Daphnia pulex: one gene and its partner. The protein of the gene in region 2 binds, or shares a complex with, the protein of the main gene of each other region. Links are inferred from orthologs where the notes say so. Each region holds a gene or a part of one and is shown on either strand. Other genes may lie near its edges.

Evidence for each region.
Region 1: glutamyl-tRNA(Gln) amidotransferase subunit B, mitochondrial-like (region 2) and glutamyl-tRNA(Gln) amidotransferase subunit A, mitochondrial-like share a complex: the UniProt entries of both Homo sapiens proteins name them as parts of the heterotrimeric GatCAB amidotransferase (AdT) complex. The link is inferred for Daphnia pulex from reciprocal best matches to the Homo sapiens genes GATB and QRSL1.

The regions. Positions count from the first base shown.
Region 1 is NC_060022.1:5,563,332-5,567,712, reverse strand, and holds glutamyl-tRNA(Gln) amidotransferase subunit A, mitochondrial-like, read right to left. Parts: upstream 2,699-4,381; 5' UTR 2,596-2,698; coding exon 2,436-2,595; intron 2,380-2,435; coding exon 2,187-2,379; intron 2,120-2,186; coding exon 1,943-2,119; intron 1,858-1,942; coding exon 1,682-1,857; intron 1,616-1,681; coding exon 1,460-1,615; intron 1,360-1,459; coding exon 1,307-1,359; intron 1,253-1,306; coding exon 1,029-1,252; intron 966-1,028; coding exon 599-965; 3' UTR 547-598; downstream 1-546. Other genes in the region: DNA-directed RNA polymerase III subunit RPC2-like, read left to right, coding at 1-113, 179-398; reticulon-4-interacting protein 1, mitochondrial-like, read left to right, coding at 3,051-3,273, 3,333-3,763, 3,836-3,948, 4,010-4,283, 4,355-4,381. UniProt on the Homo sapiens protein: Allows the formation of correctly charged Gln-tRNA(Gln) through the transamidation of misacylated Glu-tRNA(Gln) in the mitochondria. The reaction takes place in the presence of glutamine and ATP through an activated gamma-phospho-Glu-tRNA(Gln).
Region 2 is NC_060025.1:6,707,630-6,712,112, reverse strand, and holds glutamyl-tRNA(Gln) amidotransferase subunit B, mitochondrial-like, read right to left. Parts: upstream 3,095-4,483; 5' UTR 2,850-3,094; coding exon 2,719-2,849; intron 2,632-2,718; coding exon 2,370-2,631; intron 2,302-2,369; coding exon 2,129-2,301; intron 1,846-2,128; coding exon 1,697-1,845; intron 1,637-1,696; coding exon 1,420-1,636; intron 1,312-1,419; coding exon 1,128-1,311; intron 1,064-1,127; coding exon 930-1,063; intron 872-929; coding exon 748-871; intron 677-747; coding exon 587-676; intron 519-586; coding exon 381-518; 3' UTR 276-380; downstream 1-275. Other genes in the region: nuclear transcription factor Y subunit alpha-like, read left to right, coding at 4-115, 189-236. UniProt on the Homo sapiens protein: Allows the formation of correctly charged Gln-tRNA(Gln) through the transamidation of misacylated Glu-tRNA(Gln) in the mitochondria. The reaction takes place in the presence of glutamine and ATP through an activated gamma-phospho-Glu-tRNA(Gln).

The DNA of each region.
Region 1 (4,381 bases), on a different chromosome or scaffold from region 2:
TCCCGTGGACCAAGAGCTGTACTCACACGGCAGCCGACAGAAGGTCGGGCCCGTGAAGGTGGTTTACGTCTTGGCGAGATGGAACGAGATTGCCTTATCGCATACGGATCCAGGTTTGATAAATATTTCGTGCTCTTCAAAGAGAATTTTTTAAAGTTGGTATTGAATTTGTTTTTAGCATGTTGATCTTGGAGCGATTAATGATATCTAGTGACGCCTTTGATGTCGATGTTTGCAACCAGTGCGGACTGATGGGCTATTTTGGTTGGTGCCATTATTGCAAGTCAAGCGTCTCCGTCTCTTCTATCCGTATTCCCTATGCTTGTAAACTTTTATTTCAGGAGCTTCAGGCAATGAACATAGTTCCACGACTCAAATTGGATAAGTACTTTGACTGAAGATGTTGTGATATCTCAAATTTGCTGAACATTACAACTCATCAATGAAATTAGATTTGATTATTATTGTGTATAATTAAAAAAATTGTGTACTGGATAGGTTAGCAGCAGGTAAGAAAATGTAATCTAAACTTCATTATGGCGCTAATCTGACTTTATAAATTGTATTGATAATTTATTTAACCTAGTGAAACATGATCTTATGCTACTTTAACTGTTGGATGGGTAAAATTTAGTTCTTTTTCGAGCAGATGAGCAACGTCTAGCAGCGTTTCATCGTCGAAATGAGGAGCCATTAGTTGAAGACTTAGAGGTAAATTTCGCTTCGATAATCTGACGGGTAGGCTCAATGCTGGTATTCCAGCCATGTTTGCAGGTTGCGTACAATAATCTTGATCTGCAGATTGAGCACGAGAATCCTTTTCGGTGAATTCTGAAAACAATGGCGCATCGGACAAGGTGACGGGCGTCAACAGTATGTCGACACCAGTACTCCACATTTTAATGTAATCGTCATAAATCAATCTACGTAGCTTTAGAGCTTGCACGAAATATTTATCGTAATTCCTAGAAAAATTCACCAGTAAATATAGCATAGCGGTCTTCACAAAAACAAGACGGGGAACTTACTCTTTTAAAAGAAAGTAGTTTCCTGCCAAAATCCGTCCGCGCACAATTTGATTGAGGGCATGTGATCGATTGGCCGCGTAAAGACTTTCAGTGCTGTTCAAGTCCTTTCCAGTTGCACGATAGCCATATCGTAGTCCATCATACCGTGCCATATTCGAAGCTACTTCACAAGGATTGAGTACAGAATAGCAGGCAATAGAATACGAAGTGTGAGGAAGTGACACCTAGAACAAGTCGGATCAGAATCTGTTAGAGTAGAAATAAGCACTTGTATTTACCTGAATTACACGAAATCCGCTGTTTTCTAACAGATCAGCTACATCCTTCCACGCTGAGTATTTAAAGGTAATTCCGAAGCAACAACCGCCCAGCAAAGAAGAAATTTTAAATAGTTAGTGACAACTCGTGTAATTTTCTAAACAAAAAGTTACCGTCAATAACTTCAGATGATAATCCGGGGCAGTAGAATTCTTTTGGAATCCCCACACATAATTTATCGAACTTATTGGAGCTTCTTTTCGTTTTACTCTTATTTAACGGCCGTTGGAGTGTCGTCGAGTCTTTGGGATCACAACCTTTTATAACTTCTGTTCAACCAATGAAAGAACGGTGAAACGAATTCACAAAATAATTACTTACAGCTAATAGCATACCAAAAACAGACCGACAATCGCCAACGGTGCGTGCTAAAATCCCCGGAACATCCATGGAGTTAACCAAGGGAATTAGACCGTATCTAGAAATGGACCCATAACTCGGTTTAAATCCGACGACGCCGCAATAACTAGCAGGGTTACGAACTGAGCCGCCAGTATCGGACCCTAAAGCTCTGTCATGTGGGACAACAAAATTACATTAAAACTTGTATAATAAAGTCTATCTTATCATTATACATTTAAAAAATGAATACTTACACTGAACATGATCCAGCAGCAACAGCAACAGCACTACCACCTGAGCTACCACCAGCAATACAAAAATCATCTGATTGAGATCCTGATACCTTATTATCAATATCATTTGCCTTGCTAATTAAATTGGACCCCCAAATATTTTTTGTTGGTCCAAATATGCTCTCAGTTGTTCCTGATCTGTAACAGCATATCATATAGATTCAGTGAGAACTTGTATTAAAAATGCTGTAGAAAATGTATGTACCCCATTCCAAATTCATCCAAATTTGTTTTCCCCATCAATATAGCTCCTGAATCAAGTAATCTTTCAACAACAGTTGCATTGTAAGTTGGAACAAAGTTTTCCAACATTTTTGAAGCACATGTAGTTGCAATGTTCTTTGTGCAAAAATTATCTTTTATAGCAATTGGAATTCCTTCCATCGGTCTGGTTGTTCCTACAATTACTATTTTTTAGCTGGGGACTAAAGAAATCAACATAATTTTGTAATACCTTTCAAATATCTCGTAGTAGATTCCTGAAGCTGTACTTGACTAACTTCATCTGTCACTCTTATGTAAGCGTTTAAACTCTTAATCACTTGCACACGATTTGCACATTGCGCATAAAGTTCTTGCACAGTGCAGCTTCCATTTTTTAACTGATGCAACATTTATGGGATTTATTAGATTTATTCCCCGATTCCCGTGTAATATTGTTAAAAGTTGCCTGGTTTTGGTTTTGCACACCAGCAGACGTCTCAAAACAAAAATTGTTTTGAATTCTTCCCCGGTTGCGGGTTGCCAGTGCTGCTTTCTTTGAATTCAAATATACTAAAATCAAGGCTCTAAGCAGTAAGCACAGATAAAGACCAAAAATAACGAGAATTTCTCGCAAAATAACGCCATAATTCTTCAAATTTTTTCATCAAATTGAATTCAACTATATGAAATTTGTAAAAATATAGTTGAATAACTTTCCACTCGGAGCGCTGTGTGGTAAGAGAACCTAAGCCATTTGTTATGTAATAATAGACACAAGACAGTAACGTTCCATGTTCCACACGTGTATTTGTTATGAAGCGATAGCAAAACGTTGATTCACTCGTACCATTTGGGACTTGACATAATGTTCTTAAAATCATCTATTCGAAGACTCAGTTCATTTGTGAAACCAAATGAATTCACAGATTTGCCAAATACCATGTCAGCTTGGCAAATTTGTGGGTACAGTGGATTGGAATCTTTAAAGTTGATCAATACTGTGGAAGTACCTCCTCTTTCACGCCCAAATGATGTCTTAGTTAAAGTGAATGCAGCATCAGTAAATGCACTTGATGTAATGATGACAGGTAAATCACTTTTTATCATTGTATTCAAACTTATGTCCAGTTATCTTCTTTTTTTACAGAGGGTTACGGCCACCAGGTTTTTGAAAAATTTAATAAACTGAAATCAAGTGTATTCAGACAAATGGCAAATAATCAGGATCTTTCATTAACGTACCCTGGAAGAGACTTTGCAGGTGTTGTTCAAGCTGTGGGTGGAAGTGTCACAGGAATTAAACCTGGTGATGAAGTCATGGGGGTTATTCAACCTCCCTTACCAGGATCCCATGCTGAATATCTTGTAGCTTCAGCATGCAACATGAAACACAAACCAGAAAACTTGACCATGGAAGAAGCAGCTTCTATTCCTTATGCTGGCCTCACTGCTTGGTCAGCATTAAGTATCACTGCTGAGCTATGTATTGGCTCTAAAGGTAAAAGGGTGCTTGTGCTTGGAGCAGCTGGAGGAGTTGGCACAATAGCTATACAGCTTTTGAAAAATTGGGGCACATTGGTATAAGATATATATTATTTATTGAAATATAATTCATGCTCTATTATCCCTCTCATTTGGTCTCTGGCATAGGTTGTTTCAACAGGGTCCTCAGAAGCAATTCCCTTTCTTTTGCAATTAGGATCTGATTTTGCAGTTGACTACACTTCTCCTGAAGCAGATTCTGAGTTACAACAGTTTGGGGGGTTAGTACCACATTTATAGGTTTATTTGCTCTTGACAATTCCTTCAATTTTGTTTGCTTAGGTTTGATGTGATATTGGATTGTTCTGGTCGAACTGAGAAGTTCTCGTACAGTCTGTTGAAACCCTGGGCAAACGCTAAGTACGTAACTTTATCTCCGCCTACATTGCGAAATTTTGACGAACACGGAATGATTGGAGGATTGATGAAGAATGGTTTGGATTTACTGGCTGCAAACTCTACAGCCATAATAGAGGGTAAAACATTGCGATGGGCTTATTTTATCCCAAGCTCAGCTGCACTCACGCAACTAGTTGATTTAGCCCGACAGAAGAAGGTATTAATAATTTAGATCATCTATTCGTTTCTTTATGATTTTTTCTGAAAAATTGTTTTGGATTCTAAAAGTTGCAACCGTCCATCGATAGTGTGTTC
Region 2 (4,483 bases):
CAGAAGGGCCAAAGTACACCAAGTAGACACCTCAAACCAAAACCATGCTGCAGTGATGAGTTCCTCCATGGAAACTGTATCTATAGAGGCACTTACAGCAAATTACTATAAAAAGGTAATTACATTGTGCTAACACATTCCTCATCATCAGGGATGGTAATATATAACCCTTCCGTTATGCCATTTAGGATAGCGGATCATTATCGGAAATAATGACATCAGATCCGTTAGGCTGAGATGGATACATGTTCTTAAAAATAAAAGTACTGACTTACTGAGGTTTTTTGTCTGTTTCTCATTTACTTTTCAGCACTGCAAGGGTGTAAACTTTGAACGCCAACCAAGTACACGGAAATAATTTTTACTTTTTAAAAATTGATTTACAAATTCTTTTCTTCCAATAGTCTTTTTAAAGTTTGCGTTGCGTCTCCCATATCATATTTGTCATTACACTCCTTTTTAAGCTGGGCTGCCAAGCTTTTGAATATTTTTGCTTTACCAGCTCGAAAAGCGGCGACCTATAGAAATATGTACAAAATTCTAATTAAAGGCTGAGGTCAATCATTTGAAAATGAAGAAGCTATACGGATTTAGGATTTTCGGATATTATTTGTTTGCAAATGACTTCAAGTTGTTTAGGATCATTAATCATAGTCCACCCTTCTTCTTCAACCACCTGAAAAAAACAAACAAAACAACGAGAATAATTACACCCTTGTTTCAGTACAATGAAAAATGGAAACAAACCTGTTCAGGGTGACGTAAATCACCACGGTAGAGAAGTAATAGCAAATTTTGGCTAGCTGAATGGGAGATCTTTTTGTTTTTCACAAGTTCAACTATTTTCGCAAATTGCCGAGGATTTATCTGGCTAAAAGAAAATAGGAAAAATATGAAAATCTTTACCATTTAATTTTGTTGTTCATTACCATTCTTGAATTGTCTTTTCATCTTTATGTAGAAGACCAAGCAAATCCGTTAGAAGCAAGCTACACACTTTTTTTACCGGAAGATTTGGCAATGCATCCATTACGTTTAGGAAATAGTCAATGTTCCTCCCATTCTAGATTTAACTTTTTACATTAAATAGAAAATCATAGCAAAATGATAACTGCTAAATAAATTACCACTAATTGTATAGCTGTTTCCAAGCTTAATTGGTATTTCTCCATAAGCATTGTACGTTCTTGCTCAGGCAAAACTGGGATGCGTACTCGAAAGTCAGATGGGTCTAATTTCAATTGTAAAAGACTTAATGGTAGCAAATTTGGTTCAGGCATGTATCGGTAATCCTGTTTTTCTTCTTTATCTCTAAATATGGATGGGGAGATATGTTTATGCATTAATACAAAATATAATATGAAAAAAAAGGTCAGTATTTTTGTTTAGTTTGGCATACTTAGAAATTAAAAGACAAACCTCATAGATAAGGTTATTTTCTGTTGGGGGTCATATCCACGAGTCTCATTTGTAATTTTGCCTCCTTTTTCTAAAACTTCGATTTGTCGCACGATTTCGTAGTCAATCGATCGAGCTAATGCTCGTAAACTATTAAGATTTTTTACTTCTGTCCGTGTTCCGAAGGTTTCTCCTGGCTTATTGACCGAAATATTTGCATCGACCCGTAAAGAACCCTCTAAAAATGAAGTTACTCTAAAACTGCTATTAAAAGAAGTAGATAAAATCACAAGTGTACCTTCCATCTTGCAGTCGCATGTCTCAAGGGCTTCTAATATCCTGATAAGTTCAGAAACGCAAGCAACTGCTTCTTCACCATCCTTGAGATCAGGTTCAAAAACAAGTTCCATTAAACCAACACCTGCTCGGTTTAAATCTATAAGGCTCCTGTAAAAAGTTAAATTGTTAAGTATTGTTGCCTAGTAAGGTTCTTTACTGTTTAATCTAGTAAAGAAAAAGTAGCGCAATTGCAACATTACAAAGTGTGTGATTTTTGTTATTTCTGACTTTTGCTTGAAATTTCACACTTAAGTTCACTAGTATTTTATTGTACCCTGAACTAATTCATTTTACATTAACATTAAACAATAAATGTGTTAGGTTAAGTTTACACTACTGATGTAAATAATCTGCATTATAAATCCGTATTAAATACTATAGAAATATTTACCCGGAGCAAGATTCTTCGTGCAAACTTTTGCCACTGTCTTGTTCTAATTGCAGTTGTTTAATTTTTGATTGTTTCTTATAAGCTGCTTTGTGCACTGCTGAACTAAACACAGCAAAATCCAAGTATCCATCACTGGCCAGTGGTAATCTTTGCTGTGTAATCTGATACCCAGCCTGAAAAATGTTTGAATTGATGTGCTTTGTAGAAATCATCATGATTACATTATTATTAAAATGTATACTGGCATATCTGCATAAAAATAATGTTTTCTGTCAAATTCTGAAACCAAATTAACATTGCAGTTAAGGGCTAATGCAGTAAGTAGAGCTGCTTCAACAGCCTTTTTGTTAAGAACTGGGAGGGTTCCTGGAATTGCACAGTCAAATAATGACACAAGAGAATTTGCAGGTGATGCAAATTTATTAGCTGAACCAGAAAACAGCTTGGAACTGGTCTTGATTTGTGCATGAACTTCTAAACCAACAACACTTTCCCAGTTTTTCCTATAAAATATAGCACACAGTTATATATTGCTGATAAACTTTTGTGTTGAACAGCAAAAATTAGTGTGTAACTGAAATGTGTTTTACCGTTTTTCCTGAGCACATGCCAAATCCAAGCTTTTAGTAAAAATTGCTCGAATTCCAGTAATAGGCATCCAAAAGGGAAGATTCCTTCTTTGCTTACAAAAAGAATTCATTATGACTCCACAATTTATCATGTCGACATTAGTGAATTTCAATTGCTTTCTGACTGAACCAGTTAAAATGAATTGCTTGTTAAGCCTTTACAAACCACATTTACAATTACTAATTTTTCTGATGAGATATGCCCATTGAGAACTGAGCAGATTGTTAGAAATCACGCCGCTAAATTCAATTTGAGAAATTCCGCACAAAAGTTTATGTTGTTAAAAATTTCAAGCAGAAAACAACAAGGGTTTCTTCAGGTGAGAGATAAACAGTGGTAAAAAAGCGCAGTTTTAAAAAATGATGGGCGGGCGCCCGGGCCGGTTCCCGATTGGCTATATAGTATAGTCAAATTGGCGATTTGACCCCAAACAAATTATTACCTGAATTTTTGTTCGTGAGCACTGTGTGTACTATAAAAATGTAGTTATTTTTAAAATACTAGTTAAAACTATCGTGTAGAACATGTATAAATCGTGATTTGAAATTTTATTTCCCGTGTAAATATTCTTTCTTGTTGAAATAAACCATTTAAAAAAATATTAAATTTTAGAAAATCTTTCATTCTATAAGTACCCAACTTTTTGTGCAGTTATAACGAGATTTAGTATTTAAAAAAAAATTAAACGTAAAACCCAATTTTTTTCCCCCGCGAAAAAGTGTTTCCGTATTTAACACAGCCGCTTATGGGAAAATGGGTTTTTTTAAAAAACAGTATTTACATGACATATTAGCACATAGAAATCCCCCCTTGGGTTCATTTTATAGCTAAAGAGTCATTCTATCTTATTCATTTATATTTATTCAAAAGGGGACATTCGTTTAGAAGTTATAACCGATATTCTAGGCCCTAATTTTGCATATTTTCCAAGTGTTTTGCATTAGTGAGTAACACACCCGCTTGGAGTGCAGCCCCTTCTAGCGGATAGCGGCTGTGCTAATCACCACCAAGCGGGTGTGTTACTCACTAATGCAAAACACTTGGAAAATATGCAAAATTAGGGCCTAGAATATCGGTTATAACTTCTAAACGAATGTCCCCTTTTGAATAAATATAAATGAATAAGATAGAATGACTCTTTAGCTATAAAATGAACCCAAGGAAGGATTTCTATGTGCTAAGATGTCATGTAAATACTGTTTTAAAAAAAAACCATTTTCCCATAAGCGGCTGTGTTAAATACGGAAACACTTTTTCGCGGGGGAAAATATTCGGTGCGTAGCACTATGACGGAATCGCAGTAGTAAAAAGGCGCTTAAGTATCGTACTATAGTAATTTGTATCACAAGTAAAATTGAAAATGGCTACAGTGTATCACTAGTAAAACGTATCTCAAATAATACCGTTCGGAAGAAAATCAAAATTTTCTAAATAATTTATTTATTTCATACCAACAAATGGTCAATAGTAAATTGTTTCATAATTCTTTTTCAAAATTTCGTGTGAAAAGGGAAAGTGATACAGTAGTATTTTGTAGTATAACGACAACGTCTCGTTAGTAACAGGCATCAACAGTAACACCCCCTATGATCCAGTATGATATTCACGGCTTCGCCGTGATGATCCCGAATGTAAATTTCACGGCTTCGCCGTGGATGATACCGAATTTAATTTCACGGCTTCGCCGTGGATAATAATAAAATTATGTTCACGGCTTCGCCGTGA